2 linked regions of the Lytechinus pictus genome follow. Each later gene encodes a partner of the first gene's protein in a complex. Links are inferred from orthologs where the notes say so. Each region holds a gene or a part of one and is shown on either strand. Other genes may lie near its edges. The genes, in order: acyl carrier protein, mitochondrial-like; adrenodoxin-like protein 1, mitochondrial.

Evidence for each region.
Region 2: acyl carrier protein, mitochondrial-like (region 1) and adrenodoxin-like protein 1, mitochondrial share a complex: the UniProt entries of both Homo sapiens proteins name them as parts of the mitochondrial core iron-sulfur cluster (ISC) complex. The link is inferred for Lytechinus pictus from reciprocal best matches to the Homo sapiens genes NDUFAB1 and FDX2.

Annotation. Positions count from the first base shown.
Region 1 is NC_087254.1:35,527,972-35,545,264, forward strand, and holds acyl carrier protein, mitochondrial-like, read right to left. Parts: upstream 6,831-17,293; 5' UTR 6,733-6,830; coding exon 6,568-6,732; intron 3,309-6,567; coding exon 3,198-3,308; intron 2,791-3,197; coding exon 2,703-2,790; intron 2,182-2,702; coding exon 2,090-2,181; 3' UTR 2,069-2,089; intron 1,455-2,068; 3' UTR 672-1,454; downstream 1-671. UniProt on the Homo sapiens protein: Carrier of the growing fatty acid chain in fatty acid biosynthesis.
Region 2 is NC_087255.1:22,144,608-22,162,148, reverse strand, and holds adrenodoxin-like protein 1, mitochondrial, read right to left. Parts: upstream 7,153-17,541; 5' UTR 7,128-7,152; coding exon 6,953-7,127; intron 6,673-6,952; coding exon 6,615-6,672; intron 5,626-6,614; coding exon 5,519-5,625; intron 4,354-5,518; coding exon 4,266-4,353; intron 3,553-4,265; coding exon 3,500-3,552; intron 2,087-3,499; coding exon 1,983-2,086; 3' UTR 364-1,982; downstream 1-363. Other genes in the region: uncharacterized protein LOC135156058, read left to right, coding at 11,983-12,315, 14,902-15,069, 15,509-15,596, 16,155-16,419, 16,642-17,218, 17,514-17,541. UniProt on the Homo sapiens protein: Electron donor, of the core iron-sulfur cluster (ISC) assembly complex, that acts to reduce the persulfide into sulfide during [2Fe-2S] clusters assembly on the scaffolding protein ISCU.

The sequences.
Region 1 (17,293 bases):
CCATTGCAGGAGATAATAATCCAGCGCAAGTCCTCAATACGTGCGTCTGATTGGCTCAGGTTGCGGTCAATTACTGAAGTTCCATTTGATAGCCACTCTTTCTGCAACAGGCCCCTGCTCTCTCTCTCCATCTCTCAATCTCTTTCAGCAACTGCCTTGACTGTCTTTTCACATATGCTTTCTTTCCTATGTGAATAACCCCTGCAGTCCCTCAATGGTTTCATGAAGACTCCAATCTCCATCTCTCTCTCTCCTCTTCATCTGGGAGGCCAGATAAATTCGAGGCATACCCCCGGCATGCTGCTTGCTCATTCTGCTGAACTACTGAAAAAGATAATATCCATACGCAACAGAGCAGCCGCCTGCAGGGTGCATGGCATATTTTTTTTGTGTTGGTCGGCTATCAAAACCTCATATTCAAAATGTTAACATTTTCAGGACAGCTAAGAAAAGGTGCCAGTTTAGATTTATGAAATTCATGAAGCGGCATCCTCCTTTTACCTGGAAAGGGTTAAATTTTCAGACCATGTGAGGTTAGCATCATTGCTATAATTCTGAAATCCAGCTTATTCATAGCTAATTAAATGCTGAGATGAAAGGTTTTGACAGCCCACAAACAATAACTATCTTTGATGCATCACCTTGGTTAACAGAAAGCAAAACAGAAATCATTCACTGGTGTCGTCAAAACGTTTTAATTGCTACCAAATACTCTGATCAAATCAAATTACAACCATTTATTCACACGTGTAGGTGTTCGAGAAGTGCAAGGGTAACTGGCTTTATCCAACACCAGCCAGACCAAGCCAGATTAAGAACCAGACCCAACCTATTCATTCTGGATTGAACCAGATTCTTTAACGGAATCTCCAACCCTTACTTGAACAGCTCGTATCTACATTCCAGATAATTATTTTCAGTGTTATTACATGGGAACGCCTGATGGTGGGAAGATAATACATAGGATTTATCAACCAATACAAAAACCCAAAGGAGTCATTCTTGTATTGGGTGGATGCACTTTCATAGCACAATTATTCTGGGTTTTTTAATTCTATACATAATACACAAATCACATTTCTCAGCTTTTCAGGTAGATGTTTGAGGTGACGCGATATAAAATTTTAAAGGAGAAACAAAACCTCAAAGTGGGAATAGCATTTCAATAAAGCTAGAAAATCAAGGAGCTCATCAGTATGTAGATTATTGTAGAGATCTATCAGAATGATATACATGTGACTTTTGACATTTTAATACAAATAAAATTCATGAATGCCAGAGCAGATTAGCAATTCACGTGGACTGGACATGAAGATATCCTGACGATGCATCCATTGCATGATGGGAATACTAGTCCAGTCTACAGCCCTGTGTGATCGAAGTGAAGGGGGGCATCCTCGAGCCTTCACTGCATTTACTTGGTCATGGCCAATGATACAATAAATCTGTATAATCTGAAAGGAAAGTAAAACAAGGGAAGGGATAAGAGGAATAATTCAACAAAAATTAGCAAATTTTTCCAATTGAGAATGGAGTGCATTATTTATATGCAGAGTGGAAATGGGAGGGAGGAATAAAAGATAGAGAAGGAGAGGCAAGTAGAGAGAGGGAACAAAACAATTACAGAAGGAATAATTACTGATGTAAACCTCTCACATCATTCTTTTTGATTCATCTATCAAAGTCAACTGTAATATAAACTCCCAATATCCCAATGGGTCTGGTCGTAAGACTTAACAATTTTTCCAACCTTGTCAATTAGCATCTGCTATGTAGTGTATGGACAAAATCTCAGATTATTCTGAGAAAAACAATAATCCTGAAACATGAAAGACATCTGCAGGCCTTCAAATTTGATATTTTTAGGTCATGGCCACTTTTCTATATAACACATTACTATATTAAAGTGCTAACAAATGGAAAACAGTACACAAAAATATCCAAAGCCAATCAATAGGGCATTCAAAGCCATGGCCTTTGTGGTTTGAATTAATTCTAGCCCTGAATTCACACATGGTATTGATCCTCTTGTAATTAAAAAATTGAATCATGAAAACTTGATACTTACACAAAACAATGATATTGAATGTTAGTGAGCTACATCCAGTCTATCAGCTAGACACTCGACAACATCCTTCAGATTCAAGAGCTTCTCTGCAGTCTCATCTGGGATCTCAACTCCTGTCAAATATATTTCATAAATAGATCTTTTAATTAAAAGGGTTTCAAAGACATCACTACATGGTCATACCTGTATGGAGAATCTAAAAGTAATCTTAATTTTTGTATTATATTTTGACCAGATATTCCTCGCTTCGTACTTACTTGATTAATTTTGAGTAAGTTTGTGTAAGAAATAACTGCAATCAAATATAAACCGAATTCAGAGGTGATGCTTTCATGATAATGTTCAGAAAGAGGTACGGTGAGATGGAAAAGGGAAGGGGGCAACTTTATAAACTTTTTAAAAAACATGAAACCGATTGCCAACTGATTTTGTTTGTTTTTTCAAATAAAAAGTGTTGTATAAATCGCCCAACTCATCTAAATATTTGCCTAAATCAAGCCATTTTAAGTAGATTGTACAACACAACATATTTGTCTTTTTATTTCCCCATGTAGTTGAATAGATTTGTCATTCTAAAGGATTCCATTAGGACAAAGTGACTTTTATGAACCACCAGATCTATGGGCTAACTTACCAAACTCATCCTCCATTGCCATGATAATCTCCACTGCATCTAAACTATCCAATCCAAGATCTTCTGCAAATTTGGCATCAAGTGTCACCTTGGGAAATAAAAGGCGATTACATATGTGAATATATAGACCTTACACAGAAAAGCAAGCAATCAAGAATATTACATAAAGTACTCCAGTTGAGTCCAGTATGTAAAAAAAAAAGATGTCAGTTCTAGAAATATTTTCATTCGTAATGAAAACATAATAGGGATCAAATAATCTTTCCAGCTCAGAAACATATTTGGTTCACATCTGTACATCTATTTTTCAAAACAGTTTTATTCTGTAGAATGAATTTTCACTATTTCAAATATGTAATGAAAAGTCATTTTCTTCTCAGTTTTGCTCCATATTTCAGTCCTTGGTAATCAAATGTCTAATATCAATCCAGTTTGGAATTTATGAAAAATAAAATAAAAATTGTCTTGCTTAACCCTTTTCAACACTAAGATTACCTTATCTGGGTCCACCTTATCAAATAGTTTAAGGACTAGCGTACATCTTTCCTGGATACTGGATATGGTCATCTCGGCAGCTGATCCATAATGACGTACTGGCCTGTTCAGCTGAAAGACAATCATGGACAATCAGTCTTTTAACGGATCTCGGATCCTATCATCTCACTATACAATGGAAAAACTTCTTGTCATGATGCTTTTTTTCTCACATTGTCAAAATAGAAGGGATGGAGGATAAGACTAATGGAGGACAAGAAGTATCACAAGCATTCTGGTCTGTATCAGGGGTTCGATTCATAAAACTTGTTAAAATAACAAATAGTCCCACTGGAGCTTGTTTTTTTCACACAAGTGACAAGCTAAGTTGATCCAATCTAAAGGTTTAATTTTCTTTTAAATGTGTGATGCAGGGATGCCAAGTTGCCAACCCCTTACTTTTCAGTATTTCCAGGCATAAAAACATGAATTGGGGGTAAGAGAGAATTTTCAAATTTCTCCTGCAGACATGTATTTGATAATTTTGAGGAAAGGGTATTTTAATAAAACCTGCAGTATTTTTTCATTTAAAAAAAAAGGAACAGTTGGCAATTGGCATCTCTGGTAATACTACAGAATAGCCCGTTCGTGTTTTTTTTTTTTTGAGGGGGGATGGGTAATTTCTGAAAGATTTTCTAATGAACATATTGATCTTGAGATTTATAAAGCTGGGGACACCATGTGTGTTCATCTTAAATTCAAACTTAAGATTAAACATCAATTTCCTTAAAACTCCACAAAATTATAAGTTGCTACTTTTATTATTTTAAGAATACAGACCACGATTTTCCTGCAAAAAACGTTACCCATCAACAGATGAAAAAGAACAATCAAATGCACAGACAATGGGCACTGCGCAGACTAAGTTTCTTTAACCGCACATAGAATACATCTTCCACAGTCACTGTACATCCTGCACAATTCTACAAGTACGATGATACACCAACCTAGTGGAGTGTGCTTTCACGGATGATGATAAGTTTGGGAACTATGCCATGACAAACTCTCAAGTTCAATTTCTTTATTTTTTGCACCAGACATGCCCAACAGCAAAGGACAGCAGATTAAAAAGGCAAAGCCAGCCGCGCTGCCGGCGAGCAACTTATAGACCCTACCATGCCTACTGCTCTTTTTATTGGGCAATGCAAAAACTTCAGCCCTCAAACCAAACCATATTCCTTCTTCATATACAGTTATATTTGTCTTGGTTGCTCTTTTTTTTCCTCCTCTTTCTTTCCTTCTTATCTTCTTTTCCTTTTTAAAATCAAGTCAACGCAGCCAGCAACGTAGTGACCAGGGCCCCGTCTTACAAAGAGTTAAGATTGATCCAATCAGTCGCAACTATGGACGGCCAGCAACATCAACATCTAAAATACTGTACATGTTTCTTCAAAATATTTTCTATGATGTATATTCATGTATTCATTGTTTTCTTAGAAATTCACTGTGCTTCTCTTTGTTTACAAAGGACGTTGTGCCAATCTATAGAAAAAATTATGACACTGATGGATTTCCATAGAGTTACGTTTGATTGGATCAACCGTAACTCTTTGTAAGACGGAGCCCAGGGGCCCGTTGCAGAAAGATTTGCAATCAAACGCAACTTCAAAAATCATGCGCAATTTGATTTTCAACCAATCAACAGCGCGCATTTGGGACTTGCGATTGATATTTTGACTTGCGTTTAAACGCAACTCTTTCTGCAACGGACCCCTGGACAAACTAACATTAGGCCTAGATCTAGACTAGGCCCGAGTCTTGGGACGGTGATTTTGTTTTACCGGTAAAAAGTAGAGGCGCTAGTCAGAAAACTGGGATCGTCCCAGTTTACAGGGAATGTCTCAGTTTTTACAGATTTCTTCACACAAGAAATCTAGGAAAGTTCATTCACCTGTCAAGTGCCGACACCAATCAAGTGCGCTAGTCAATGTAAACATATCAGGATTCATAACAATATTATTGGAAGAAGGCAAGTCATGTAAAATAGACGGTGAACTGGGGGAAATTGAGGTCACTGAATCTATTTTTAGCACTCTCAATTCCCGTAATTGATGTCTTTGTCCCGTAGGGGGAAGTGAAAAAAAAACGTCCCTATAGCAAGGACAGTCTCATTTTATCAAGACATGATTTGTCTTGGTTTATGAGGATATCCTTGTTTTCTGGGACAATCCCAATTTTTGGACCAGCAACAGCGCCTCTACTGGTAAATAAAACGGCAATTCCATTTGGTTCTTATATTTTTCATGTAAAAATTCATGGAATTCACCTTTGCAAAATAAAATGGAATTCAGGTTTTTGCTGTGTATGGTAGTGTGACCTTAATTTGCGCGTTACCTAATTTTGCGCACGGGCGAATACCTCAATATCTAATTAATATTTTGAAAAATTGATATCACCAACAGAAAGAGCGACTTAAAATTACCCAGTATAGTAATTTTCTTGAAGGTAAGGTCTCTATTAATGAAAAGATTGGCAAAATATCGGCAAATCTTGTTACATTTGCGTCCGCTCCGAGAAAATCCGACCTTCTCGACAAGCATCAAGAATTTGCCAGTTTGCAAGCGGAAGTCTCCAAATAAGTAAAATGTGATACCAACCAAATTTATGGCATTTTAACCTGCATCTTATACAATTGTAACCTTTGGCTTTGTCTGCAAAACAATCGTGCGCAAATTAAGGTCGCACTTTTTTGTGACACTTTTTCAGCCGAGCACGCACTAGTCAATCGCCGTAGAAGAGATCGCGATACCAGCGAAACCCTTGACCTACTTTATAATTCCGTCAAGCGAATTGACTTTTAGGATCTTGCCTTCCGTTTGGTATTCATGATTTTTATTAATTTTGTGAGAGCTGTGAGAAATTTTTGAATGAAAATCAACTTCTTGATGATTTTTAAAATGTGCGCAAACTATTGGGGTCACCCCATCATACATGTACATACTTTCAGTGACAAAATGGAATTTCCATTTTTAGATCAAGAAACAAAAAAGACCATTTTTTGAAACGGAAAATCACTGTCTGTATCAGTCTATTATTAGTACTCTATAGGCCCGCACAGCACAGACACGCCTCCCTTTGGATATCTGCCTAACTAGGCCTAGTTTTGAGTAGACATGGAACATGCTGACGCTCTCTTCCAAACTCCATGCACACTGCACTGCTTGCAGCATAGCCATTTCCAATGCCGTGCCGCTCCCGAGCTCCCGATCCTGTGCCACTCTGTGGCTGTGCAGATGCAGAAACACACTAGCTAGCTAAGGCCAGCTGCATGATAGAATTAGAACTGTGTCTGTGACTGTGCCCTTGTCGCCCGGTTTGTGGCGATATTTACCTCTGTAATTCTCTGTTTAAGATTATTCTGATTGCATCTTGAATTCCCAAAACCCTGTTGCAAAGCAGCAAATGATGAACTTCGGGTTGCAATACTTCTGATATGCTGAATTCTGGCAAAATTCTGAATACTTGAGAGAACACGAAATCTGCACAGCGACGCCATGATTGCCGTAACATGTAAGGAGTTATGGTAAGCCAACTAGGCCGGTTCCGGGACAGCCCGACCACCGGACAGCCCGACCCTGGACAGCCCGACCCGCTACCCTGGACAACTCGTCCCGGTCGAGTTGTCCAGGGTTGGCTCTGAATCGGACAACTCGATCTCGACCACTTGAATTCTTCTTCAACATTTCATGATATAATATTTCAAACTTTACTTCAAAAGTATTTCCCCGCATAATCCATGTTTCTACAATACATTATCGACAGAAAATTTGACATTTCAGTGCATTTTGAGCTATTTTGAAAGAAAATAAAGAGAGTTCCCTTGCAACGAGATTACCGGTATCTTGATAAATTGATAATCCGATACCGCCGGCGAGCTGTGTTCAAATTCTGCAAATTTGAGTTGATTTTTCCGTCACTTGACATATTTTAATGATGAGGGTGTGCTATTTTGTATTTTCATATTCCATTTTCACATTTCCTCTCCTTATTTAAAGTTATTCCATTTCACAAAACTGATACTTAATGCAAACTTTTGAGATAGTTCACCTGGAAAGGACACCCGATGCGGTGCTTCGCCTCGCAGGCCTGCTGGGCGACCGGCTGTGCTGTGATTGTGACTGAGTGTGGCACTCGGCTCAACTAGCTATGCGAGGTCAAACTTACTTATTTTAGTAAAATTTTCCGTCTCTTGACATATTCCAATGGCGAGAGTGCTATTTTTGTATTTTCACACTTCTTCCACTTATTAAAAAGTTTTTTTTAATGTCACTAAGCTGATTATAGGAGTATAGGACAGTGAATGCGTGGTCGGAATGTGCTTCCCAAAACCATCCTTGACGCCCCTTTTTGGAGGCCTTTAGGCCAGGGGGGTGCTTCCAACCAACATATAAACAAATTAAGGAAATAGATTTGAAAATGTGTCAGTATGTAAGTTATGAAGTTTACAATTTTTTGTAGGAAAGTGTCTTTTTTTACTCTTTATTGTTTATTTTTGTTCTTAAATAACTACCGCGGTATTACAAATTTTTATTGTTTTCTAAGTTTAGAGGAGCAGAATGGGGGTGCACATCTGACATAGATTGGGTAATTATAATTATCAAAATTGAAAAACTTAGTTTTGATATCAAAACGGAAAAGTTTATTGAAAAAAGAAATGTATTCTGCCGAAATTCAAAAACTTAAAAAATTTTAATCAAAATCTAAAACTTGCCTTTCGTTATCGAAAAACATGTGTCTCATTTTTTACCTGTCGGTTTGTACTGTCACAACTTTTTTTTAATGCAACTTCCATTGGAAACAACGGGTCTTCTGGAGGATACCAGCACTTGGGCTGGTACCAACCACCTACACCCGGGATGAGAAGAGGTTTCATACTCGACATGCGATGGTCTTTCCATTTCTTTCACGAGCAGAAATAATACCGAGTTCCAATGACTTGGGCATCAGAGCGGCAGTCCCTTGATCGATGAGGTAAATACAGCTTTTTAGATACAATAAATCAATTTTTGTGCACTTCATGCAGGCATATCAAAGTTCAATTTTTTTTCTTCAAATTCTTTAAAAGAAAGAAAGGGCAATTGAATTCAACAATAAATTTACTTTTTTTTCTTTTATACATTGTTTGAATTGAACAAAAATTTTACTTATTTTTGGTCTGATTTGCTTTATCAGAAGAGGTGCAGACTGCAGAACTTCAAATATTAATTTTGTCAATAATTCATTTTATACTTCATTTTATCTTTCCAACTGTTTGACTTAGTTGAGACAACATGGATTGCAAACTGTACTTAGCTTGTTTTTATTTATAAAACAAAATTATAAGGAAGTGCTGAAAAGACAAGTCCACTCCAACAAAAAGTTGATTTGAATAAAAAGAGAAAAATCCAATAAGCATAACACTGAAAATTTCATTAAAATCAGATGTTAAATAGGAAAGTTATGACATTTTAAAGTTTTGCTTAATTTCACAAAACAGTTATATGCACATCCTGACTGGTATGCAAATAATGAGACTGAGACGTTATCCACACACTATTTCTTTTGTATTTTATTATATGAAATATTCTAATTCTCATTGTCAAGTGATACAACAATTAATTCCTCCTTGAACATGTGGAATTATTGTTTAATACTAATATGGTTCAGTCAAGTTGGTCTTTATTGTCAAATCTATAAAAAATGAAATATTGTATAATTCCAACAATAAAAACAAGAGAAATAGTGAGTGATGGACATCATCGACTGACTCACCTATTTGTGCATATCACTGTTTTGTGAAAAATAAACGAAAATTTAAAATGTCATAACTTTCTTATTTTACATCCGATTTTGATGAAATTTTCAGCCCTATGCTATTTTGATTTTTCTCTATGTATTTAAGTCAGCATTTTCCTGGGGTGGACTTGTCCTTGAAAGAGCCATCCACGTAAGTTAGGGTTAAGTTAGTTGTCATGGTAATCAAATAGGCAATACATTTTGAAATGTTGTATATTCTTAAACCAAAGGGGCAATTAATTAATGCATGTTAATTTGTATGGTTACTATTGTAGTTTTAAGATTGTCCATATTGTTACATCGACACCCAAAGCAGAGGATATTGTTCTCAATTGGAGTTACGATAACAAATATAACTATGGGCACACATGAATTTGTTGATATGTACAAATAATATACAAATATACCAGGCTTTAAGGAAGTATAGCAGGAATTATTTGTCTGAAGTTGGACTGGCAATTGCTAATTATACCAAGAGGCAAAAATATGACTGGGCACACATGAATTTGTGAATATGTAAATAGTAAACAAATATACCAGGAATGGTGCACTATTTGATTTTCTTTATGTGTGTTTTTTTACAGCATAGCAAGAACGTGTTTTGTTATGTGTTGCTATACTGTTTGTAAGATATAACAGAAAATTATGTGTTACTAATTAATTTTAGTTGTGATCAAGTTTATCATATTGTTACATAGAAAATAAACAGTCTACTTTACAAAAAAAAAAGTATTGTGAATATTGGGTTCTATTACTTGTGAATTTTATTTCTGCTGAACATTTTACCTTTAAGTGCTGATCATTTTGGAAGAGATGAAGTTGAAATTGGAGGGATGGAGACGATGATATGAAAAGGATGGTTATGAGAAGTGGGTTGGAGATGATGAGAGGAAGGATGGAGATGATGAGGGGATGGAGATGAGAGGAGGCATGGAGATGAAAGGAAGGATGGAGATGAGAGGGATGGAAATTATGAGAGGAAGGATGGAGATGAGAGGAATAGAGAGGGATGAAAATTATGAGAGGAAGGATGGAGATGAGAGGGATAGAGATGAGAGGAGGCATGGAGATGAGAGGGATAGAGATGAGAGGAGACATGGAGATGAAAGGAAGGATGGAGATGAGAGGGATAGAGATGATGAGAGGAGGCATGGAGATGAAAGGACGGAGATGAGAGGAAAATATGATGAGAGGGATGGAAATTATGAGAGGAAGGATGGAGATGAGAGGGATAGAGATGAAGATGAGAGTAGAGTTGAGGAGGCGATGGAGATTAGAGGAATTGAGATGAGGGGATGGAGAGGAGGGATGGAAATGAAAGAATGATCTTAAACGGATGGTCCGAGTTGAAAATAATTATAGCTTGATAAATAGAGTAGAATTCACAGAGCAAAATGCCGAAAATTCCATCAAATCGGATAACAAAGTTATTGAAGTTTAAAGTTTAGCAATATTTTGTGAAAACAGTCGTCATGCATATTCATTAGGTGGGCTGATGATGTCACATCCCCACTTGTTCTTTTGTATTTTATTATATGAAGTAAGGCTTATTCAATTTTTTTTCCTCCAAGAACTAGAAATGTATTGCTGCAACTTATTACATTATAAGGGAGACAATGAAATAATGAAAAAATGATTTTAAGTAATAACATAAGAAAACGGAAAGTGGGATGTGACATCATCAGCCCACCTAATGAATATTCATGACTGTTTTCACAAAATATTGCTAAACTTTAAACTTCAATAATTTTGTTATCCAGTGAATTCTACTCTATGTATTAAGATATAAATATTTTCAGCCCGGACCATCCCTTTTAGAAACATCACCACCAAAATCATCGCCACCATCACGATCGTCACAATCAGTGCCATCACCACCATCATCATCATCTCTATAATCACTATCGCCATCATTATCATCACCATTATCTTAATTATCATCGCTATCGCTATATTCATCGCCATCATTATCATCACTTATCATCACCATAATCACTATCGCTATCATCATTGCCATCATTATCTTAATCACCATCATCACATTACCATTCAACATCATCGTCTCTATCATCGCCACCATCAATATCACAATCATTGCCATCACCACCATCATCATTACACCAACATCACTACCAGCATCATTCTCATCCAGTCCTTATCATCATCGCCATCACCACTATCATCACCCTCATAATCGCCATCATAACCATCACCATTATCTTCATCATCACATCACCATCATCGCCACCATCATCATCACAACATCATCCATCATTATTGTCATCATTATCATCGTATCACACTATAATCACCATCATCAGCAAGCATCATCATCACCAACATCATCGTCACCGTCATCACCAATGTTCATCATTATCATCATCACAAACATCATCGCCACCAACATCCTTTTCATCATCTCAGGAATATTACTGAGAACCTCTTGGAAATGATGCAATCCCGAAGGCAATTTGACTCGATCTCATCAGTGGCGTAGCTGGGTTTTTCTGTCGAGAATGTATTGTAGAAACATGGATTATGCGGGGAAATACTTTTGAAGTAAAGTTTGAAATATTATTTCATGAAATGTTGAAGAAGAATTCAAGTGGTCGAGTTGTCCGATTCAGAGCCAACCCTGGACAACTCGACCGGGACGAGTTGTCCAGGGTAGCGGGTCGGGCTGTCCAGGGTCGGGCTGTCCGGTGGTCGGGCTGTCCGGACCCCACTAGGCCCGGTAATTCAAACCACAGAAATATACCATTACCGTTATGTTGGAAAATACTAGTATCACAAATCAACTCTCGCCGAGAAAAAAAAATAGTAAAAAAAAATCGAATGAATGATTAATCAAATGAATGAATAATAAACAATGATTAAAATAATGATAGGATCGGCAACAACAACAATAATACAGTATAATAATAATAATTAAAATGATAATAATAATAATAATAATAAAAATAATGATAATAGTAATAATAATATGTCCATTTATAGTGCAGTTACTATGTCATATACATGTACTCAACTGCGCTTTGATACTTGGTATCATTATTACCCCGGCTGTAGGCGCTAAAGCGTTCAAGGAATAAATCATACCGGGTACCCATTCACCTCACCTGGGTCGAGTGTAGCACAATGTGGATAAATCAAAATTACGCCATGGCTGGGATCCACGACCCTTAGCTGTTTCAAAGTCCGGAGACTAATCCACTGGGCCACAACGCTTCACAATAATGATAATAATAGTAATAATAATAATAACTATATATAATAATAATAAAAATAAAAATGATAATAATAATAAGTCATATTCATATTTTCCTTTGTCCGCCAATCGAGTGCTAAAAAATGAATAGGAACGTAATCGACCCCTTTTTCAATTTTTTTTTTTACACGCATTATGGGTCAGTCCGTGAGTGACGCCGGCTCCTCTCGATCTCCACACTCTACATTCCAAGGATTTATAATAAATCCAGATCGGCTGTGAATACTCGACCAGCCGAATTTATTTTTAACTTTTAAATATCAAAAGATTTAAATTCAAATCTTTTAGATATTATATTTAAATCATCATTCGGCTGGTCAATATATATTCACAGTCGATTTGGATTTATTTTAAATCCTTGGAATATATGCGAATCACCATCATCATGTATTAAAGTGAGGTAGTCAGGCAGAAAAGACGGTATTTTCAGTCTTACATTATAAATTTAAAAAAAAAAAGGTTATGGGAACTTCGATATATTTTCGTTTGTGGGGCAAATCCCAAAAAAGGGCACTGAGCCTATATGTCAAAATGCGTGTTTTGGTGCAATTTAATCAGATATTTTCTCAATGATTTTATCATCTGCGTGAAGTACTTGTGTGTTGTATAGTAATTATGTTGAGCAAAGCCTTTTTGAAGTTATTTCTGATTGCATGATCTCTGAAGGCTTTTTCCGGCGACTCGTTCCGAGCGAGCGGTTTGGAAAAAAATGTAAGATCAGGGGCCCGTTTCATACAGGACTTGCAACTATTGTAACTTTGCCATAATGGCAACTACCATGGTAACCATGATTGTGATTGACTGCTGAGCCCTGCATGTTACCATGGTAGTTGCCATTATGGCAAAGTTACAATAGTTGCAAATCCCTTATGAAACGGGCCCCTGAAGTTGTAAAACTCTCATTTTAATCGGTCATGGCTCTTAAAATAGCAACCTTGCGAGATGTTGCGAGCGCGAATCGCGAGCTCAAAGTTTTGGACATTAATTTCTGGGTTAATGTAACCATGCAGCGAAATACTGCAAGGGAATGTCTGACCCCTGCTTTTTGTAATGTACATTAATGAGCTGCCACAGGCAGATCAGATTTTGTCAAGTACTATTCTTTATTTGCGGACGACACCAAGTTATACAAGCATGTAAAAATGACAAAGATGCTGAGTTATTACAAGCGGACTTAGATCGTCTTGTTTCAAGGTCAGACAAGCAGTGGCGTAACAGGCGGGGGGCAGGGGGGGCAAGCTGCCCCCCCCCCTCTGGCGGAGCTCACTGGGAAAATAAAAAAACAGGAAAAAGAAAAAAAAGGGGGGTGGAAGAAAGGGAAAGAGAAGAAAGAAGGGGAAAGGGGAAGGGGAAAGGGAAAGGAAAAGGGAAAAGAAAACTAAGAAAAAACATAAAAAATGGAAAACGGAAAGATAACGGGAAAAGGAAGGAAAAAAGAACAAGTGAGAAAGAACTATTCGCCCCGATAAACAAATACATTAGCATGATTAGTAAGACAGGGAAATAAATTAAAGATAACAAAAAGACAAAACAAAAGCGGGAAATAAAGGCAGAATGGAATTAGCCAAAATCTATATTGGAAAATAAAGAATAGGGACAAGATAACGCAACGTACACTACCGGGCTGCCGAGGATTGAGAGCCGAGCGGGAAGAAAAATGGATGGTATATAAGCATAATGTCGTATGAAAGTCTATCATAAACTTGCTTAATCTCCAAAGGCTCTGTCCAAGAGTCAAGACCCCGTGCAGTGGGGGCTCTTCATCTGTAACCTTTAATGGGTTCTATAACGGGCTCCTATATGGACCCTTCCTGCATTAGGCTTTACGTTGAAGCACTGGCGTACCGGGGGTGGTTCCACAGCCAAGGGAAATAAAAGAAAATAAAGGAGGCAGCGAAATGAGATGAATGAAAAAAAATATATGACATGATATTTGCTATAATGATGTAAATATCTATCACATAATTAGAATTTCATTTTAACAGGCCTTTTTTTTCTGGCTCGCTTCGCTCGCTGGCGAATTTTTACAAAATTTGATTTCCCACATTTGCTATGGTGTGCCCCTCACAATATTTGGATGATTACGATACACAACTGCATTTAATTTATGTGTTGTGTTAAAGCTATATAAATATACACGCAATTTGATTAAAATAAGTGGCCATCTGTAGGTTTAAAATGGCTTTGATATCAAGAGGTTCCGGGGCTCTGCCCTGGACCCCACCCATAAAGCACTGTTATATGGATGAGTTTGGACCATGGCCCCAAAAAATTCTACAACCAAACAAAAAGAAGAAAGGAAAGTGTATTATATTTTTCTGAATATCACGTTAAAATCTATCTTCATGTTACAGATTCTCATGAAAAGGTGATTTTTTATCTCGCTCGCTTCGCTCGCTCGGGACCTATAGAGAGCTACTTCTTGCCAGAAGCGCCATACTCGGCCCCCTCGAGCATATAGAGCTTCGCCCTGATGCTCACAATCATAACAAAAATCCTGTTCACCGTGGCGTACAAAAAAAGAGAGAAAAAAGGACAAAGAGGAGGGTGAATATGATATCATCTTTTTAACATTATGTCAAAATCTATCACAAAATTTGATTTTTGCAATAAAAATGTCAAAAATTTTTGCTCGCTCGCTTATATATATATATATTTGCCCGATACGCCATATCGCCCTCTCAAATTTTTTGCCTTATGACGCCATTGCCTGTTCCATGATATGACCGGGAAATTTTTGGCTCTTGCCCCCCCCCCCCCCCCCCCCCTGGCCACCGACCCCTGTTACGCCGCTGCAGACAAGTGGCTATTAAAGTTCCACCCGGATAAAATGTTGTGTACTTACCGTACTAGGTAAAAAAAATGATGAAATCAATGACTATACAATGACACATGATAATGCCTCACATAATCTATCACAAGTTGAAACCAGTAAAGATTTAGGAGTGATTGTCGACACAAAGCTTAGTTTGGACCATGCACTTTCAGTCAAAGATAAATAAAGCCAATAGGCTAATGAATCTATTTGTTTATCTTCACAAGGAGAACTTCTTACTCCTATACACATCATTGATAAGACCTCATTTGGAGTATGCTCATGCAGTATGGAGTCCATACTTAAAGAAACATAATTCAAGCACTAGAAAATGTTCAAAGAAGGGCCACTATAAGTTGGTACCTGAAGTAAAGAACCTTCCATAATATGAACAAAGATTGATTCAACTAAAGCTTCCTACATTGGCATTTCACCGTGCGCGAGGAGATATGATTGAAACATACAACTAAAACTAAACTTAATAAACTTAAACTTAAACAAGTTATTACACAGGTATGACCAGGAGGTAGTGCCAGATTTTGGTCAGGTGCATGGGCCTACCAGAGGTCATGATGAAAAATTATACATTCCGAGGTCAGTAACTGAGAAACGTAAGAATTCTTTTTACATAAGAATGAGGAAACCTTGGAATAGTCTAAGTAATGGAAGTTAGTAAATGCACCCAGTGTCCACAGCTTCGAGAATGGACTGGATAAGTATTGGAGATGTGGCCCTGTGAAGTACAAGTTTGATGCTCACCCACCAACCTTAAGAGGAGACAGAATTTGGAGCTAAATAGACTGCGTTCAGAAGCATCCATAGGTAAGTTAAACATTCCGAGCAGCACTGGCGTAAATCCGTGTTGATGGGTGGGGGGGATGACTGAAATATTTTGGCATTTTTTGCAATCATGTTTTTAGATATATGCAAGGAATTGTCATTGATATGTCCACAGTGGCGTACCGTGGGTCACGGCATTGGGGAGGGGGGCACCAGCAAAATTTTTGAATCACTAAGTGAGTGCGCTAAGTTGCCAGTTATACTGACCTAATAGAGACATTTTAAAGACAATGTCATTAAACGGATATGTAGCTCACTGATCAAGTAATGCGAGCGCGAAGCGCGAGCTGAATTTTTTTTATATTCACACCTAAAAAGGGACAATATAATCAAATTTGTGTAATCATGATAGGTACCTGTCTCGCTAAACAATGCGAGCGCGAAGCGCGAGCTGAACACTTAGATAATTCAGACCTGAAGTGGGGCATTCTAAGGTTTCTTTGTAGGAATTAACTAGGACCATACGTATTTCATTAACCAAATGATGCGAGCGCGAAGCGCGAGCTGAAATTTTTTGATATTCAGATCAGAAGAAGGGACATTTTAAGGACTGATTTTAGGAATTCATGAAGAGCAGACATATCTCACCAATCCACTAATGCAAACGTAATCACGGACAGGAAATGTTTCATATATACGAAGACCTTAACATGGGGCAATCACTTTTGAGTCATGAAAAAGAAGCATATGTCACTACATAAAACAATGATAACTCAAGTGCTAGGAAATATATTTGGTTTATATTGACTTGAAAACGGTAGGTTACAGGATTATATATCTCGTTAAACAGACAATGCGAGCACCGGGAACAATAAAAATAGACGTATAGGCCCTGGGCAAATTATGTTTCATAACGTTGTAATGTAACATAACATAATTATAATATAATATAACTTTATAATGAATAATATTTTCTTCTTTCCCACTACGTTTCTCTTCCTTTCTCCCTCTTTTCTCCTTCCCCCCCTTTCCTCGTTTTTGTTTTTAGTCAGCCGATGGGGGGAGGGGGATGTGCCCCCCCATGTCCCCCGTAGTTACGCCACTGTATGTCCATATGGCAAATACCCCTCCAATATTATTATCTTTTTTTACCTCATGATGGTATAATGGTTTTATTATAGATTACATTCAAAAAATTTTGACATTCCATCTTCATCCCTTCCCAAAGACCCCAACATTGATGAATTGGAAGAAACAGGGGTTTCTCTTCAATGTTATAATAAGGATTTAGGAAATTGGCTATACAATCTCCTAATATTTATATAAAAGTTAGGTCCTACCTTAATTCTTGCTCGCCAGAAGATAGAATGTGGTCCAGCCGCTCAGAATCTCAGGTAAATTGCACAAATCCGTGAATAG
Region 2 (17,541 bases), on another chromosome or scaffold:
CATATAACTGTTTTCACAAAATATTGTCAAACTTTAAAATTCAATAACTTCGTTATTTGTTATCCGAGTTTGATGAAATTTTCAGCATTTTGCTCTGTGAATTTTACTCTATTTATTTAGATAGTAATATTTTCAGCCCAGACCATCCCTTTAAGGATGTTCCACAGTTAAAGTGAAATCCATGTCATTTTCACCAAACTTTGCACATAGATACTTTAGAACCTTAATATTCGAAATATGCAAAAATTAACATAGGTCCATGTGCTTGATTTTATGCTATAGAGCTTCAAAGTTCACCTAAATTGATGTTCTTAAAAATTGCGCATTCAAAAGAATTTTGCATTTTTAGACCGCCCAAGATTACTACAATGAGTTTAAACCTTTATTACTCAGTCAAAATACATGAAAAAGTCATCAAATTTTGCAAGAGAGTTAATAATTGTATCGTTAGAATGGAGAATTTATCTATAGTGCTATTTGTTTGCAATTTTAAGTTTAACAGCACTGCCAGTTCTTAAAAATGGCGTAAAAGATAACAAAATCCCAATCTAAAAAATGTGAAATTTCAGTAACAAACTACAAATGTACAATAAATGCTGCACTTTATTCAAAATCCATGTCATTTTCACCAAAATTTGCAGAGTTGTAAAGGAAGGTATACCTAAGAGGTACAAACATTAAAAAATAGGGGTTCATGTGCTTGTTTTTAAACTATCAGCATTTTTATTAGAGCAAATGTGCTTTTTAAAACACCAAAAATGCACCGAATACTTTGTATCTATGTGAAGAAAAAATCAAAACCACTCTACCATTTATTCAAACTCGGGGTAATATTCGTGATTCTTGGCAGCACTGCAGAGTAAAGTATTTTGAAATTGTAGAGAATTTTTTTTTAATCGTCCGTGGAATAATTCCACTTTTTAGCTTCATGAAATAACACATCGGTTCTGCAGTTTAAGTGCAGAAGAAGAGAAAAATCAGCTCATACCCGCAGCTAATTAATCACCTGTTCATCCATTGTGACGTCAGCGCGCAGAGTGTAAACTATGCGCAGATCATAATGCGCACAAACATAACTGTGGAACGTCCTTAATACAGAGATCATCAAATTCCTGTAGGATGGCAAAGTATATCATGGGAATACATGTATTAAGAAAGGCTTTTTACGAAATATTTGAGAAGAGATTTACCAGATTGTTTTCCCTGAGTATCAATACTATGGATATTAAAATCAGGATCACTATCATTACTAAAATGCCATATCATCTTTATGGTTGAACTTTTAAAATAAATTTGAAAATATATGTATTCTTCTATCATTACACTTGCTGACCATTAAATCTGAAATGAACGAGGGTACATGTCTGACCAATACGACACTTAAACCTTCATTAAGAGATATAAACAAAACCAATAACACATTCATTCATCTATTCATTTAATCACTCATTCATTTTTACATTCATCCATCCATTCATTTGTTCATTTATCCATCCATTCAAAGAAGAGTGCTTCTTTTTCAGGTATAAAACTCAGATCATTCTGATCAAAGAGAGCAGCTGGCAGGCATGTTATAATAAATTGTAACTTAATCACGCCATTTCTGGTAAAAATTTAGGTACCGGTATCATAATCGCTCAAGATGCACTTTCTGCCTTTTTGCTGTGATGCCATCCACATAGATATTGCCATTGAGAATATTGTGCATGAAGGACAAAATGCAGGATGGAGCCATCAAAACAATTTTAGCAGAACAGAGAAAAATACTCCATCAATGATCCCATAGATGAGGTCCAACACTGTTAAAAACCAGAATGTGTGCATGTTTGGGGAATTGTTCTTAATACACCCAGATACACCAGGACACTATCAGTGTAAAAGTCAATGTGTTAAAAAAGGAGTACCCTTTGCATCCTGCCCTGTTTACATGAACCCTGAACGACCTTTAAACATCAGCCTCAAGGTCACACAAGAAGTCAAGGTCAATGAGGCTGGGGTACATGACCATCAACATAGAAATTCCTTGTTGCTTTCGGAAGCTGGACCTCCATCCCCTCCAGCTCTTTGCTTAGAATAATTTGACAGCCTGTGGTGGTGAAAGAAAGAAAGGAAGAATGAAATAACGAAAGAAAGAAAGAAAAAAAGAAAAAAAGAAAGAAAGAATTAGCAACATACAAAAATGTTTTCAAGGGAAAATTTCATTTCAAAAGTGATAAATATGTTTGTATTCTGAACGAAAATTGTAATTTTTGCAGCACTATGTATTTATAATGTGCTTTTGTAATGTGAAATGAACTTCCTTAGTGGACAATAAATATTTTCAATTCAATTCACTTTGACTAAGAACTTCTGATAATGATATCTCCCACATAATACTGCTTTCTTCAAACTCAAGCACTCAGGTCGTGGACAAATTGTCATTTATATGATAATGAAATAGGAAAGAATAAGAAAATGGTCAGAAAATATAAGGCCACACTTAAAGGCCAAGTCCACCCCAGAAAATTGTTGATTTGAATCGATAGAGAAAAATAAAACAAACATAACGCAGCAAATTTCATCAAAATCGGATGAAAAATAAGAAAGTTATGACGTTGTTAAGTTTCGCTTATTTTTCACAAAACAGTTAAACGCACAACTCGGCGATATGCAAATGAGAGAGTCGATGATGTCCATCACTCACTATTTCTTTTGTTTTTTATTGTTTGAACTATACAATATTTCAATTTTTACAGATTTTACAATAATGACCAACTTGACTTAACTATAAACTGTTAAAATAATGGTAATTCCACATGTTCAGGGAGTAATAAAATTTTGTTTCACAAGACAATGGGGAGAAAATTAGAATTTTTCATATTTCATATAATAAAATACAAAAGAAATAGTGAGTGGGAGACGTCACCAGTCTGTCAATTTGCATACCGTCCAGGATGTGTATATAACTGTTTTTTGTGAAATAAAGCAAAACTTTAAAATGTCATAACTTCCTTATTTTACATCCAATTTTGATGAAATTTTCAGTGTTTTGCTTGTTGGATTTTTCTCCTTTTATTAAAATTAACTTTATGGTGGGGTGGACTTGTCCTTTAAATACTAGTATCTTGTACCAATAAATTGAAAATATATCTAATATCAAGGGTCTTATTTAAAACAAATAATGATTTTTCATTTATGATGAAAAAACACCCAGGAAAAATAAACTTCATGCAGACACTTTCAAGATAGCTGTGACTGAAAAAAAAACATAATTTACTAGATCTCCTTGAGATATTAATACAACACATATTAGTGTATTTTTTCAATCACTTAAGAATGATTTTTGGGTGCAATTTTTTTCCTGGGCTTAATTCTTATAATATATCACAGACACAGGTGACAAGTAGGACCTTGTAGCCCTGATCTTTTTAAAAACAAATCATGGTTAATTTCTGCCTTTCAAACTTTGAAGACTCATTTTTCTATACTATACTACTAAAGGTGATTGTTGGCAACTTACTTAATCTTGATGTTGATGTTAGAAAAGGGGCCAGATCCAACATGTCTTCCTCCCTGAAAAAAAAAATAACATAACATGAATATAATAGCTAATTAGCTATATTTTGTATATATCTACTAACCTTGCCAGTAGTAATTATATTGTGTCTGCAAAACAGCTAATATATGATGAATAAAATAATTGAAGAAAATTCAAAGAAAATTTCACTTAAACTAGTTTTGATTTATTCTTCAGAAAATGAAATATGATGAACATACACAAATTCCACTCTTCAATTATTTCATAAATTATTTTTCTTTCCTTGACAGAGAAAAAAAAAATCATTACCAGTAGTATTTTGTATATATATATATATATACATATATATATATATATATATATATATCAAGCTGATACAAAATACTGGCCATTGCAGGAATTACATTAAGAAAGCATGAAGTGGCCTTTAGAGATATGAATATTTCTATTTAGTATAGGTAACCCTATACTTGCAAATCGCAGTGCTGAAGTACACAAGTTTGCATGTAATACCTCTTGCTTTGATGCTATATCTGATTTTATGAAAAGTCGTCATTTCTTGTAAACTTTTAGGTTGTCATAAATAATTACTATTCAAAAAGTAAGCAAGAAATATCAGATCACACAGATCTATTGAACACAAAAGATTAAAAAGAACTCTTGGGTACCCCGAAACTATATCCATTTATAATATAAATTCATTAATACTAATGTATGGAAGAGCGAGGTTAGAATATTGTCAACTTACTCTTCCGTTGATTCAGGTAGCATATCATAATATGAATCTGGTAAGATAACATGACACGTACAGCAAGCAAGAGAAGCTTCACAGGCACCTGATAGAAAGGTCAAAGGGAAAATTAAACTGACATTCTGCAAGTAGGAGAGGGTTTAGCCCTTAAAGCTAAATGAAAGTAGTTGCAGTAAAACACTGATTTTGTGAGAAAGTCTTTAAAACCAAGGTTAAGTATTACTATATCATCATGGATCTAGATCTGGTACAGTAACATAAACTGAACTTTGTGAAATCATAAAATCTAAGCTGAAAAACGATCACACTGAAGATCGTCAACACAGATAGGCACACGTGGGACAGTGTATATTATTATTGCTGGAATAAAGACCCGACAGAAGTGTAAGAATCCGCGCTTATTTTGCTTATTTCTCAGCAATTACACAATTTCTTCTAGAATCCTTTGGCACAAATTTTTTATTCATACAAACAGACACTTTGGTGGTCATTAAAATTGGATTCTATAAAAAGTCATTTAGAGATCGTTACCACAACTGACATTTATATTTAGGTCCAAGTCCTACCCATAGAAAAAAAATCAATTGTGTTCTTTTGAAAAAAAAAATTATTGTATTTCATAGTCTCATAACGAATTTCCTGCAATATTTCATCAATTTGACTCTTATATGATACATTTATGATGGCACACTCTCATCATTAATGGTTCAAATGAGTTACTGGAAATATTCAAACTCCTAAAGGATAAATTTTCTATCAAATTTACAATTACAATGATAGGCAAGCCCTGCATAAACAGAAATACAATCTCATCTCTATATTTTAATTAAAGGGGAACTAAACCCTGTCAATTAGTTGGTTTTAATAAAAGTAGAAAAAAAAATTATTTTTGTGAAGTCACAAACAAGCAGCTACTCCATATGTCATGTGATATAAATATCCCAAAATGCCATTTTCTAAACAAAAAATTGAAGGGGATTTTATTTTTGCAATGGATATATCATCATTTCATATAACCCTTAAAAAATATATTTTTACTCATCATAACCCATTAAAAAATAGACACAAATTATGGGAGATCTGCTCGCATATGAATTCATAAATCAAAAGCTTAAAAACTTCATAACTCTTTTATTTCTTGATGGATTTCCATCAACCCTAACCACTATTTTCTTATTTTTTTCTGCTTTTATTAAAACCAACCTATCATCAGGATGTACTTCCCCTTAAAAAAAGCATCAAAATCTCACCTTCTATTTCAATACCATATCTGTGTGCCAAATACATGACATTGTCTCCAACCTTTCCTTTCACTTCTATCCTCTCATCGTCTTTTGTCACATAGGTGATATTCACTCTACAAGGATAGAGAAAACATTATATTTTATATTATTCTAAGCATCTAACATTACATTCTATGTTCTCACTGTATATATTGTAAAACAAAATGTTCATGTCAAGTGAATGGAGTGTGTTGATAAATTAAAATTCATACTTACAATTACATGTTTGTTCATATTCACTATTCATTATTTGATTAATAATCATTTGAACATAAAAATACCATGTCACATATTGACATTTTGATTTTGTTTATAATAATTGGAAACAGTTGCAGCAATCAAAATTTTCATCTAGACATTTCTCTTGCAAAAGAAATGTTTAAAAAAATGAGTAAAATGAATTTGTTCATACTAAAAATAATGATGCAATCGGTCTTGGGAGTTAATAGGCTATTCATATTCATCTGTGAAATGATGCCACTTGAAAGTGATGAAAATGTCTGAAAATCATCTATAATGATGACCCCATTTTTTCTATGACTGAAAAGAAGTTTAAAAAGTCTAAATTCAGACTGGAAGACTAAAGTCTGGAAGTCACCATGTAGATTCCCCACAGGCAGGATGGTTGCAGTGAGCAAGTGTATCATATACTTTTTTAATTGTTGTTGCTTTTGTTACTGATCTTCATGCTGTAAAGTTAATTTGTTGCCTTTGCTTAATGTGTTTTGTTTTGGTAAAGAAAAGATAACTAGTTCAAGGGCAAGGCTCTTATTTTTATGTGATGGGCTAACTTATTGAACAATATGCCTCTTATTCTTAATCATGAGTTAGCTGTAGAGTTCTTGTCCTTAAACTAAAGTATAGACAATCTGTCATTATTCTATCATTTTTATTATTAAATGTACCCGGTACATGAATCTCTCATTTAGAATTTTATATAAGAAATAGATGATTTTATCAACCCATCCCATGCCAAGGAATGGCATTAGTCTGCTGGAATGGGATGATTTCTGTAAAAAGCCTAAGGAAGTAAATAAATAAATACTTATTTGGGTAAACTTACATATCCTCAGGAGACTTTGGGTCTTGATACTCATAATCGCCGTGCCTTAGTCCACCAGCTATTAAATTACAAAAACACAAAAAGAAAAACAACATTCAACAACAATGTTTTTTAAATGAAGCATGACTTTTCTTTTAGTTACTGTCATACTAGTCTACTTATAATATTCTCAGTTAAAATGACATGATAACATTTGATGGGTATTTGACCTTTCGCTCATTATTTCACGATAATCTATGCACTGGAATAAAAAGGTGAAAGTTCGTACTAAACCCAACACCAATTCCTATGGTTGGGACATGATCGAACTTTCATACAAAAAAGGCAGAAATACGTACCAATAGAAGCATGGATATGTCGTGAACCAACCACAGAACGGGTGATCTTCGAGTGGCTATTGCTTCTGATCGATTGAAAGTGAGTTATATTCGCTGGTTTTGTGTACAACGAGCGTATAATAACTGGTAAAATCTTATGAAACTGACAGACAAAATGCTTCATGGGCAGCGCCATCTTGAAACTAAACGAGTTCGCCGAAGAGGGACGTATTTATTTGTCTATGCATGCTGCGCTTGGCTTGGGGGCTTGGGGGTCACGCGCGTAAAACATTCCCCATAGACTTGTGTGTTAAAATGGCACTTAATAAAAATTCATAAAAATAAATGTGAAATTAGAGGGTCGAATGTTTACTACCTTTGGATAGGATTATATCTGACATTCCATATCTGACCAGAGAAGGGTATCGTAGCCAGCTCATTTTAAAAATAAATCGCCATTTATGAAGATAACTATGATGGGATCAAATCATAGAGATATATATTAGTATACATCTCTATGGATCAAATTCATCAACTGAAACAGTAAAATAGCCCCAATTCTTCCGCCAGTCAAAAAATAGTTCCAAATCATTGATATATCTTCCCAATTTGGGCAAAGGAAGTTCAGTAGTTACCATTTCTAGAATCAGTGATAGATTTTGAATCATATTCATATACTTTTGTCAATCAGCAATATAAATTGAAAAAAAATCGAATGGGTTGGGTCGAACGAATATCTTTAGCCCTCCTGATGTAATTAGGCTCGTGGCACCTATATCATATGACCTATATGAATTTTATTTTTTTTAATAGCTACTTTGCTTTTCTTTTATATCTCTACACTCACACTAGCACAAAGAAATGCATTAAAAATTCCTATTTTCTATGCAGTGACCCATTTCAATGTTACTCATAATTCACTATATGGATGTATACAGCATATCCTACCTGTATTATATATAGCCCAACAGTGAATGCAATGACATTATAGGCCCATATTCTCCTTGTAATATAAAGGTGTATGTAAATTTTGTGTAGATATCAGGATACCAGAACTGCCCCAAACATAATTACCAGATATACATGAGATTAAATGAGGAAACAATAAAAGAATGAGAACATATTACTTTAGTACATTTGCATTTCACCTATTATATCAAAATCTTACTAGGGCTATTGCCTATCAGATGTAAGAAGGAAGAGATACATAAATAGATAGAAAGAGAGAGAGAGAGAGAGAGAAAGAAAGAAAGATAATTTTATAGATGGCATGGCTTATAAAGAGGGGGGGGGGCTAAACTAAGATTGGAGCCGTGCAGCCACCCCACCCCTAGTAGTAGTATTTGTAGTATAGTAGTAGTAGAAGTAGAAGTAGAAGTAGAAGTAGTAGTAGAAGTAGTAGTAGTAGTAGTAGTAGTAGTAGTAGTATTCTTCGAGTATTTTTACTACAAATTTTTCATCAGGGGGTGGGTGCAAGTTCCCTTTTATACCTCGGGGTGTTTCACAAAGATTTAGTGTGACTATTAGAGTCGCACTTAAATATGCCTAGTTATTATTATCATCATCATCATCACCATCATCACTTCACCATCATCATCATCATCAAAATCACAATCACCATCACCATCATCATCATCCTCATTTATATTAGATTTAGTTTTGTATTCTTTTCCGTTCAACAAAATAAAGAAAATGCAATCAAAGTTACAATGCAAAATAACAGATATAGTTCAATGATATTACATACACGTATTTAAGATAAATTAAACAGGAAATAAAGTGAGCTGCAATTATTTTGGCTATAAAGAGTATATGGAACAAAACGGAGGGACTTGCCAAGAAAAGCAAAGCTTGTGAGAGGCAAGCCTTTATAACTAAGTTTCAATACCTGATTAACAAAACAATATATAACGGAGACGGACTTAAAACTAAAGAAAGGCGAATAAAGCGACTATAAAATTGAGAGAAAGTAATTTGAATAGTAATTATAATGATAAAAACAACAACAACAATAATAATGATAAATATGAAAAAAGTAAAGAAAAGGCAATAGTATTTATAAAATTATAGTAAGGAGAAAAAGGGAAGCAAATGAAGGAAAGAGGGAGGGGAGTGTGGTGAAAGTAAAACTGAAAATGAAAAGAGGAACAAGGCAGGTGCCGACAGGTGCCGACAGGTCGTTAGGCATATGTAAGTATCATTATCTAGAATAATATTTGACAAATTTATTAATAGTAAATTAAACATTGATACTTTTACTGAGTTTTGATTATATGTTGGTTTGACTTGTTTGGTGCAGTATTGAATAAATTAAGCATCTTTTTAAGGTTGTGTTTAATGCTTGGAGATTCTTTAAAGTCGTTGGGTCTGGAATTCCAATAGTATACACCGGTCCAAAAAAAGACAAAAGGGTTGTTTGCTATGTACGTTGGGGGTAGGTGGTAACAGTTACGTTGTCCCGTTGGGTAATCGTGTATAGAGTATCATCATAATAATTATCCTCCTCATCATCATCATTGTTATAACGAATTGAAAGATATAATTATAGTAATACTTATTTAAGCGTCAGTGATTGCCGTTTTAAAACGACTGAATATTTCAACATATTATAGAATAAATTTACTAGTAGTTGATTCTAATCTCTATTATTTCTTTCTGAATCATATTCACACACAATTTCTGCATGGAAATGTTAATTTAATTAGACCACTCTGGTATTTTTTTCTTCTCAAATTTCACAGTAAAACAAAAACTTATTAATAAATTGAACGATCTGGATTTATTTTTTGAACTATAAACGGAAGCCTATATTATTGATGAAAATAAGGATTGGGTAGAATACAAGTTAACTTTTCCGACATCGAGCAGCTTAAGAGAATAATGCAATGATTAACTTTAGGCCTAAGTCTTTAAAAAGTGGCAAGATTTTCCGATATTGTTTCTGGAGATTGATGTAGATCTAGCGGGAGATCATGACAACGTACGGTACAAAACAAAGCTTTATTGCGATGTTCTTTTTGATCGTATGAGTTTAATTCTGTGTACGTGTCATGACTTTTTTTATTCAATGTACATAAATTCCTTGTATACTTCCTCAAAGTCTGATGGCCTATAGAAAACAACAAAACAAGTCCCAGCCCTGGCCCCGCCCCGGCCCGCGAAATTATTTTTCCCACCGAGTTCTGGACCAACATATGAATATTCATGACTTGAGTCTTCGGATTGAGAGTACGCATGCGCGTGGACTTGGCCTCGACCAAGTACCAGTGCCGATCATAAGCAAGCATTCACGTTGCTCAGAATGAATTAGCATCGTCAGATTACCGGTACCCTTACATAGTTACATAGGTCTTATAAGCTTAGATCTCTATATATATATATCAAATTCTTAAACACTTAATAAACTAGCTGCCATTAATGGCAAGACATGTGCTAGGGTAGGGCTAGCTTAGGCTAGCGCATTAACTTTACCTCAAATCTGGACCTGTCTAATTAATGCCTAGTACTAATCAGTGTTGTAGTGCCTTGATGCTCGGCCTTGGCCTTCTTTAAAGGCGCCTTAATGCCTAGCTACTTTTTCAAAGCATTGGCTTTGAGAGGGCCTTGGCCTTGAGGATTTTGAGCCTTGAAATTTTAAGGCATTTTCAAGGCATTTTCAAGGCTTTTTCAAGGCATTTTGTATTTTGTACTTTCATTTGTTTTAAATAAGTAATTATAAATGTTTCAATTGTTTTTTTATTTATATATATTTAATAACAATAATGGTCAATACTACCAATCACCAGTAACAGTAGCAGCAGCAGTAGTAAGTGTACTAGCAGTGTCATCAATTGTAATTGTCACCATTATCAAGAAATTCAAACAAAGAATACATCAGTTATGAAAAATAGCATTATGTATTGGTAATGTGTTGTAATCATATGATGATAATGACAGTAAATAATAATGGTCGTGATCAAGATAATAGTGCTTTGATGACAAGAATAATTTTTACATCTGACTGCAATTTTGACAACAATTTTCATACTTTAAACATAGCTAACTCTAAATAACAAGGTTGATTTCTATTCCATTAGGATTTTCCTTGTATTATTTTCTTTGGCCAACAAGAATGTTTAAGTCTTAACGATATTCTGAAAAGATTTGGTAAACTTGAACACAGTCTCCAATTTTGTCATATCCAAATGGGTTATGTCAATGGCATGATGAGCCAGAAACTTTGAGGGGCCAAGCATGGCATATATAGAGCAAAATTTCTGTCAAAAAAAAGAAGAAAGCGATTGAAGCGAGCGAGTGAACAAAATTTGTCCCCCTCTTTCTATAAGAAAAGCTAATTTTGCAATAGATTGTTTAAAAAATAATATCACATTTACTCCATCTTTTCCTTTCCCTTCCCCCCTTGTCTAAGTTTATTCTTGGTGGTGGGACTTCTTCTTCTCTCTATCTCTCTTCTAAATTTTATATTTGTTTTGGGTCAGATTGACAAAACAAAGGGGAAAAAATGTTTACTTCTTTTTAATCATATATTGATTGATTGCATTTATTCTTTTTCATTCCAAAATTTAACAAAAGTTACAATGTATAGCAAAACACAAAAGTATAATATACAGAAATGAAAAAAAGGGAACCCACTGGAAAGCAAAGCTTGTTAGTATGGGTTCCCTGCAATAAATAGTTAATTAAAGGTTCTGAGTCATGCAACTATATTTTGCTCTTATTAGTTTTCAATTGTTTTTCTAAGAATTTTAACATTATTAATATGATTTATTTATCTAGGATTAATAAGATATTGCTGGTTTTAGAAGTTAATTTCATAGTTTCTCACGCTCATAAGCCCCGCCTCCAGAAAAAGATCGAAAACTCTCGAGCTCGCTAGTCACGTGACTATACGTCATCAAGGGAATCTGGCAGCTCTGCAAACTCGATCATCGCGCACGTAAAAAGTTTTCGTCTATTATGTTTACGTATTGTAGCGCTGTATTGTTGAGAAAGTTTACCGAGTTCTTTTTGGAAAAGTTTTGTACATTTGTGATATTTGCGATAATATCAAGATGCCGGCGAGATGCATCGTCGGAGGTTGCAGCAACACTACGAAGGATGGTGCCAGCTTGCATTTGTTTCCCAAAGATGCAAATTTACGCAGAATATGGGTCTCGAAAGTGAAGTTGACCCGAGCAAATTGGAGCGGCCCCAGTGACTGGAGCGTGGTGTGCAGTAGCCACTTCGAAGATGCGGATTTTGATGACGGGTTGCATGCTGCTTTTGGCATGAAGAGGACCCGGCGGCTGAAGCCCGACGCTGTGCCTAAAATAAAGAGTGGGTCATCAATGCAAGTAAAGAGGAGTGGGTCACGGACAGCAGCGGACAAACGAAAGAAAATGAGGGTGAGCATATTATCTATTAGTAATAGACTTTGTTTAAAGTTTATCTTTGCAATTGTTGTGGTCAGTCAGTTCAAGTTCAACGACGGAAAGTGTGAGGATCACGTCAATTTCCTTATTTTATTTATTTTTTATTTTGAAGGTGTTTATGATGGTGGGCCCCAAGTCTGCGCATCAAACAATTTGAGTTTAGATTAACATGAATTTCTTCTTATTATTTATTAACAAAATCTTTCCGTTAATAATGTTCCTTATATTATTATTAGTATTTTAGTAATTGTACTAAATTTCTCATTAAAAAAATGAAAGAAAATAGGCCTATAGGATTTTCTTGGAAAAACCTCGTAGGCCTACTGTAATTTTCAGATTTGTCAAAAAATGGTAGGCCTACCCCGAGCCCATGTCTGCGCACTCAATCTTTGCACACGATTCGGGGATTTTGATGAGAAAGGCTGCATTTTGATGCCGTCACATGAAATGCCCTAAATCCATCATTTTGAGTCAGATTTTTTTTTAAATACCTGTCAGCCTGTAGACCTAGGCTATGGCTAGGTATTGCATGTGTAGAGCTCGTGCTCGTTGCGTATCTTCTTTTACTAGAATTGCGCTGATACGCGTGTGCGTAGACTTGGGGGAACTTGCCATAGGATACGCCTCGAAAATAAAAAAGGAAATTGAAGTGATCCTCAAACTTTCCTCAAGAGTCCAGGCTCCACATTCATGACATTGGAAACAGGTCTACGAATTCTAAATTTCTGTTGCGAATTAGAAATCCTATTAATTGTGAGTTGTATTTCAAGACAGGATCTACATTGTAGTACGTGGCTAGTGCTGTGAAGAGGTACAGTAGGCCCAACGTTAGGTCTAAAAGTTTTCTTGTTTCAGTTGTTTGTGCCATTGTGGTTCATTTCTCAAGTAAGGAAATATACAAACTCTTTTGGGGGTATGGTGGCTCTAGTGGTAAAGCGCCTGCCTCATGAACGGGAGGTCTTGGGTTCGATACCCGACCGAGTCATTAAAAAAGGGACCTCCTGCCTTACTAAAATACTAGGCACTCAGCATTTAGATTGGAGAAGGATAATAATTACAATTACATTCAGGTATTAATTATTATGTTATGCAGGGCCCGGTGGTAGAACAGTTTCCTAACTGAAGTGGCTACCCTGGGAATTAAAACGTTAGATTATTTTTACCTTTTTTTTAAAAAGCCAAAAAGTTTTTTTTTTTATTCCAGATCCAGATTCCAGGCCTAATATCATATTGTATATTGTCTCATTTTTATGTTTTGTAATGTTTCTTTGTCTTGATTTTGTATATTTTAATGGAAAAGAAATGAATTCAATTCAGTGTTTGTTTTACAAAGTCATGAGAAGGGTAAACAAATCTGCATGAAAGGAACCTTCTAAACAACATGATATTATAAGTTTGGACAAAATTGTTCATGCAATAATATACAGAGTTAAAAGATTCACAATAATGATTGTAGAAATAGTTTATACCATGGAGCTATACATGTAGATCTATATTTTTTAGAAGAAATTTTTTTTGATAGAAATAAAATTTTTTTAAAGAGTGTACAGAAATAATGAAAATGGGATGAACTATTGGGCTCTATAAGAATTGATTTGGATATACAATAAGGCATGAAAATTATCTTTGTGATAGCAAATACAACATAACTGAATTGATTTAATAATTACAATACAGGGATTAATGTAGAGATACAATGTGCAAAATATAATTAAATTAAGTTATTTGGTTGAATGAGATATAAATACAATGAAACATCTCAATTGTCATGGTTGAAGATACAGTGGAATGAATGAATTGACAATTTTATTTGAAAAAAAAACGAATTTGTATTTTTGATTATTTTCGTGGTATTACATTTTTATACTTGATAAGTCAGAAAGTCTGCCTAAAGATGCAATAATGCAAGTATTGTACTCCGGGAAATAAGTTTTAAAATGTCCCCAAAGTATTACATATAGATCATTTTGTCTTTTGACATTACTTAATTTGCATATTAATATAGATAGCCCTCAATAATAAAATGTTAGAGCGTTAGAGGTTCCATGTCCCACCAATGTTTAATTTCTCACTTTTTTTATTTTCTATGATTTTTAATAATTGTAATAAATACTTAATGCTCATTTTACCAATTAAGCAAATTAGGTGCTCCAATTTGCATAAATATGCATACATCTAATTTCTCGTACTGAAAATTTAAAATGTAATATTTGGACTTTCTTATCCCACCAATGATTACTCCATACAATGCATATATGAAATTATGTAGGGTGACTTTGCAACAGTTTGTACTCACTGCCATACATCATAAAGTAGGTAGTGAAATCTAACTGAGGTCTGAATGAAAAATAGATCTGAAGGAAGATGATTTCTAATTCCATTCAATTCAATCATGGTTTATTTCATATTAAAAAAAATACATGTTACACAGCCCAAACTTAAGGCTGAAATTAGCATGTTAATATGTTATTAATTCCTTAAGTTTATTATTTTAGAAATAAGAACACATGGCTATTGTGTATATTTTTCTCTCATTTTTTATTTAAATTATTCTCACAGATGCTGGATGAATTGCTGTCAACATCTGTTGAAGCTAGGGATGCTGAGGAGCAAGGGTCAGCAGTGGAGCCTGCATCAATGGAAAGTCCATCAGACACTGATGAGCCAGGATGCAGCCAATGGACAGATGAACATTCATCTGAGTCTGAAGAATCCTTTGATGAACAGGTATAAATTTGTTTTCAAATTGTGCACCCCCTCCCCGTGAAAAGACATGAAAGCAAACAAACATAAAAGGTAATTTAGCAGCAAATAAGGGATAATATTGAGTAAATTATCAACCACAATGAATTTAGCAGAATTTAGGATACATGTAAATTATATTGACATTTTTTTCTTTCCAAAGAAACCAAAACCTTTATGCATGTGATTCAAACAAGACATATGGTTCATGAAAAACTCATAATACTTGTCTTCCAAGTCTTAACATACCTGGCTGTGACTGAAATTACAGTTTATCCCAAAATTGATTCAGGTGTAGTTTTGATTAGTATTTGTGCTGGAAACCATACTTTATTTATGTATATAATTTTTTTGCATGTCACTGGTAGTGGTATGTACATGTATTCAGCATATTTTGGCTACTGTATTGATATCCAATTAACAGCCGTTCAAAGATCCAGCTATGGAATTTCAGCAGCATGGCCATACAACCTCTGTTGGGATACAGGTCTCTGTAGCAACAAGAGTTAAACGTAAGTTTATTTTTCATCTGTTTATCTATATTGTCAATTTTCCTTTTGAGGCTGGTGCTGCTAAGTTGTGGAAAGTTTTTGTAAACATATGCTCTAGATAATATATTTATTGAGGCTATAAATATTGAATTACTGATATTCATTCCCAATCTGACAGAATCAGTGTCATGTAGTTTAATTAACTTGGCTATGATAGTCATGAACATCTATAGCTATTATACATTTACATTTAATAGAATACTGCATCATTCTGTGTTCCTTGTATATTTTTGGATACTTGCAAGCGATTTTGCTGATTTGCATATGCGCAGTACCAAAACCATTAACAGGAGTCATGCTCAGTATGTCACATATTATTCACAATGTTGCTAGAAAGATAAGTTACGGGTACCAATTTGAAGGTGTAAATGTTGCAATTCCACTTGAAGAATAAGTCCTACGCAGTAGTCCGGGCCACAGATAACTTACACCCTGGATTGCAGATATGTTGTGTTCCCCTATGTCTGAAAATTTGTTTCACAACCAAAGTAAAAGTAAAATATACATGGACATTTTCAGGGTCCCAAAGGGTTGTACTTCTGCAGAACACAGGTTCACAGATACCACCCGATATTCCAGCCTTTATTTCAAGAGGGACCTCTTTTGACAAAGGGGATATACCAGAAGAGAAAGTTGATGCGAAGGAAGCGGAGGAAGAAAGGTTATCATCTCCAGAAAGTGACGCCGCAGAACCCTCCTCACCTGGATACAAACCACCATCATCTTCATCTTCATCATCAGATGAGCGTGTTATTGCCAAGCCACAAAAAAGACAGAGAAAACGGTTAGTTCTTTCATTATCCTGTTCAAAATCAATACTAGTACTGTAAATTCTTTTGAGAAAAACCTCAGACACATATCATAGTGATTTAATAAATAAAGCATTTTAGATAATTTTTCTTATATATTACAGCAACAGCAGGCTGATGAAATTCTTACATCGTCTTTTAGGATTTTTTTTGTATTTCTAAACAATTTTATTTTTTGTCTTTTATTTCAAATACAGGAAAAGGCGATCAAGCAAAAAGGCCACATGGGAAGCCCCAGCCCAAGGTATTCCTCCACACAAGGAAAAAAAATACATTGTATACGAGTCTAAGCTTTTGGAGCTGTTGCAGTTTTGCCCATCCTGCAAGTCTGCAAATGTGTCCCTTGTAAAGAGGGAAGTTGGAAGCCTCCTTTCTGTGACAAGGGAGTGCCTGTCTTGTGACCAGAAGTCGACAACATGGGAGAGCCAGCCATGGATAGGCCCCTATCCTGCTGGCAACCTCCAGCTGTCAGCGGCAATCCTGTTTGCTGGCGGGAGCCCCAGTGAGTCGCTGCGAGTGCTGAAGCATTTTAACGTAGCAACGCACACACGCAGGACTTTCTTCCGACACCAGCAGAAAGTTTTGCATCCAGCTATCACCAATCAATGGCAGAAGCAACAGAACCATCTGCTCACTGAACTGTGTGAACGGGGTCTGCCACTCACCATTGGGGGAGATGGGAGAGCGGACAGTCCAGGACATTCTGCAAAGTTTGGGGTATACACTGCCCTAGAATTGAATGTCAACAAGATTGTTGATTTTCAGCTGGTTCAGGTGGGTCTGATTTTCTGTCCTTAGTTCATGTTCCCATGATACATATGACCACAAGTGCCTAGTTTTATTTCATGAAATAGAAAGTAAATATAAAGAATCTGCATTTTTGCCAAGACGGGTTAAGTTGAAACACAATTCCTCTTGTCTTGGTTACTTATTATATTCATGTCTGCCAATTTAAATTGATTAAATTTAAAGGCTATTTTGATGTTCCAGCCCCAAACTGTTATTTCATGTTATCACTATTGTGTGTTATGCAATGTTGATTTATATTTTGTATTTTGTTTTTTCATAGAGTAATGAGGTGAAGGGTTCGTACCACA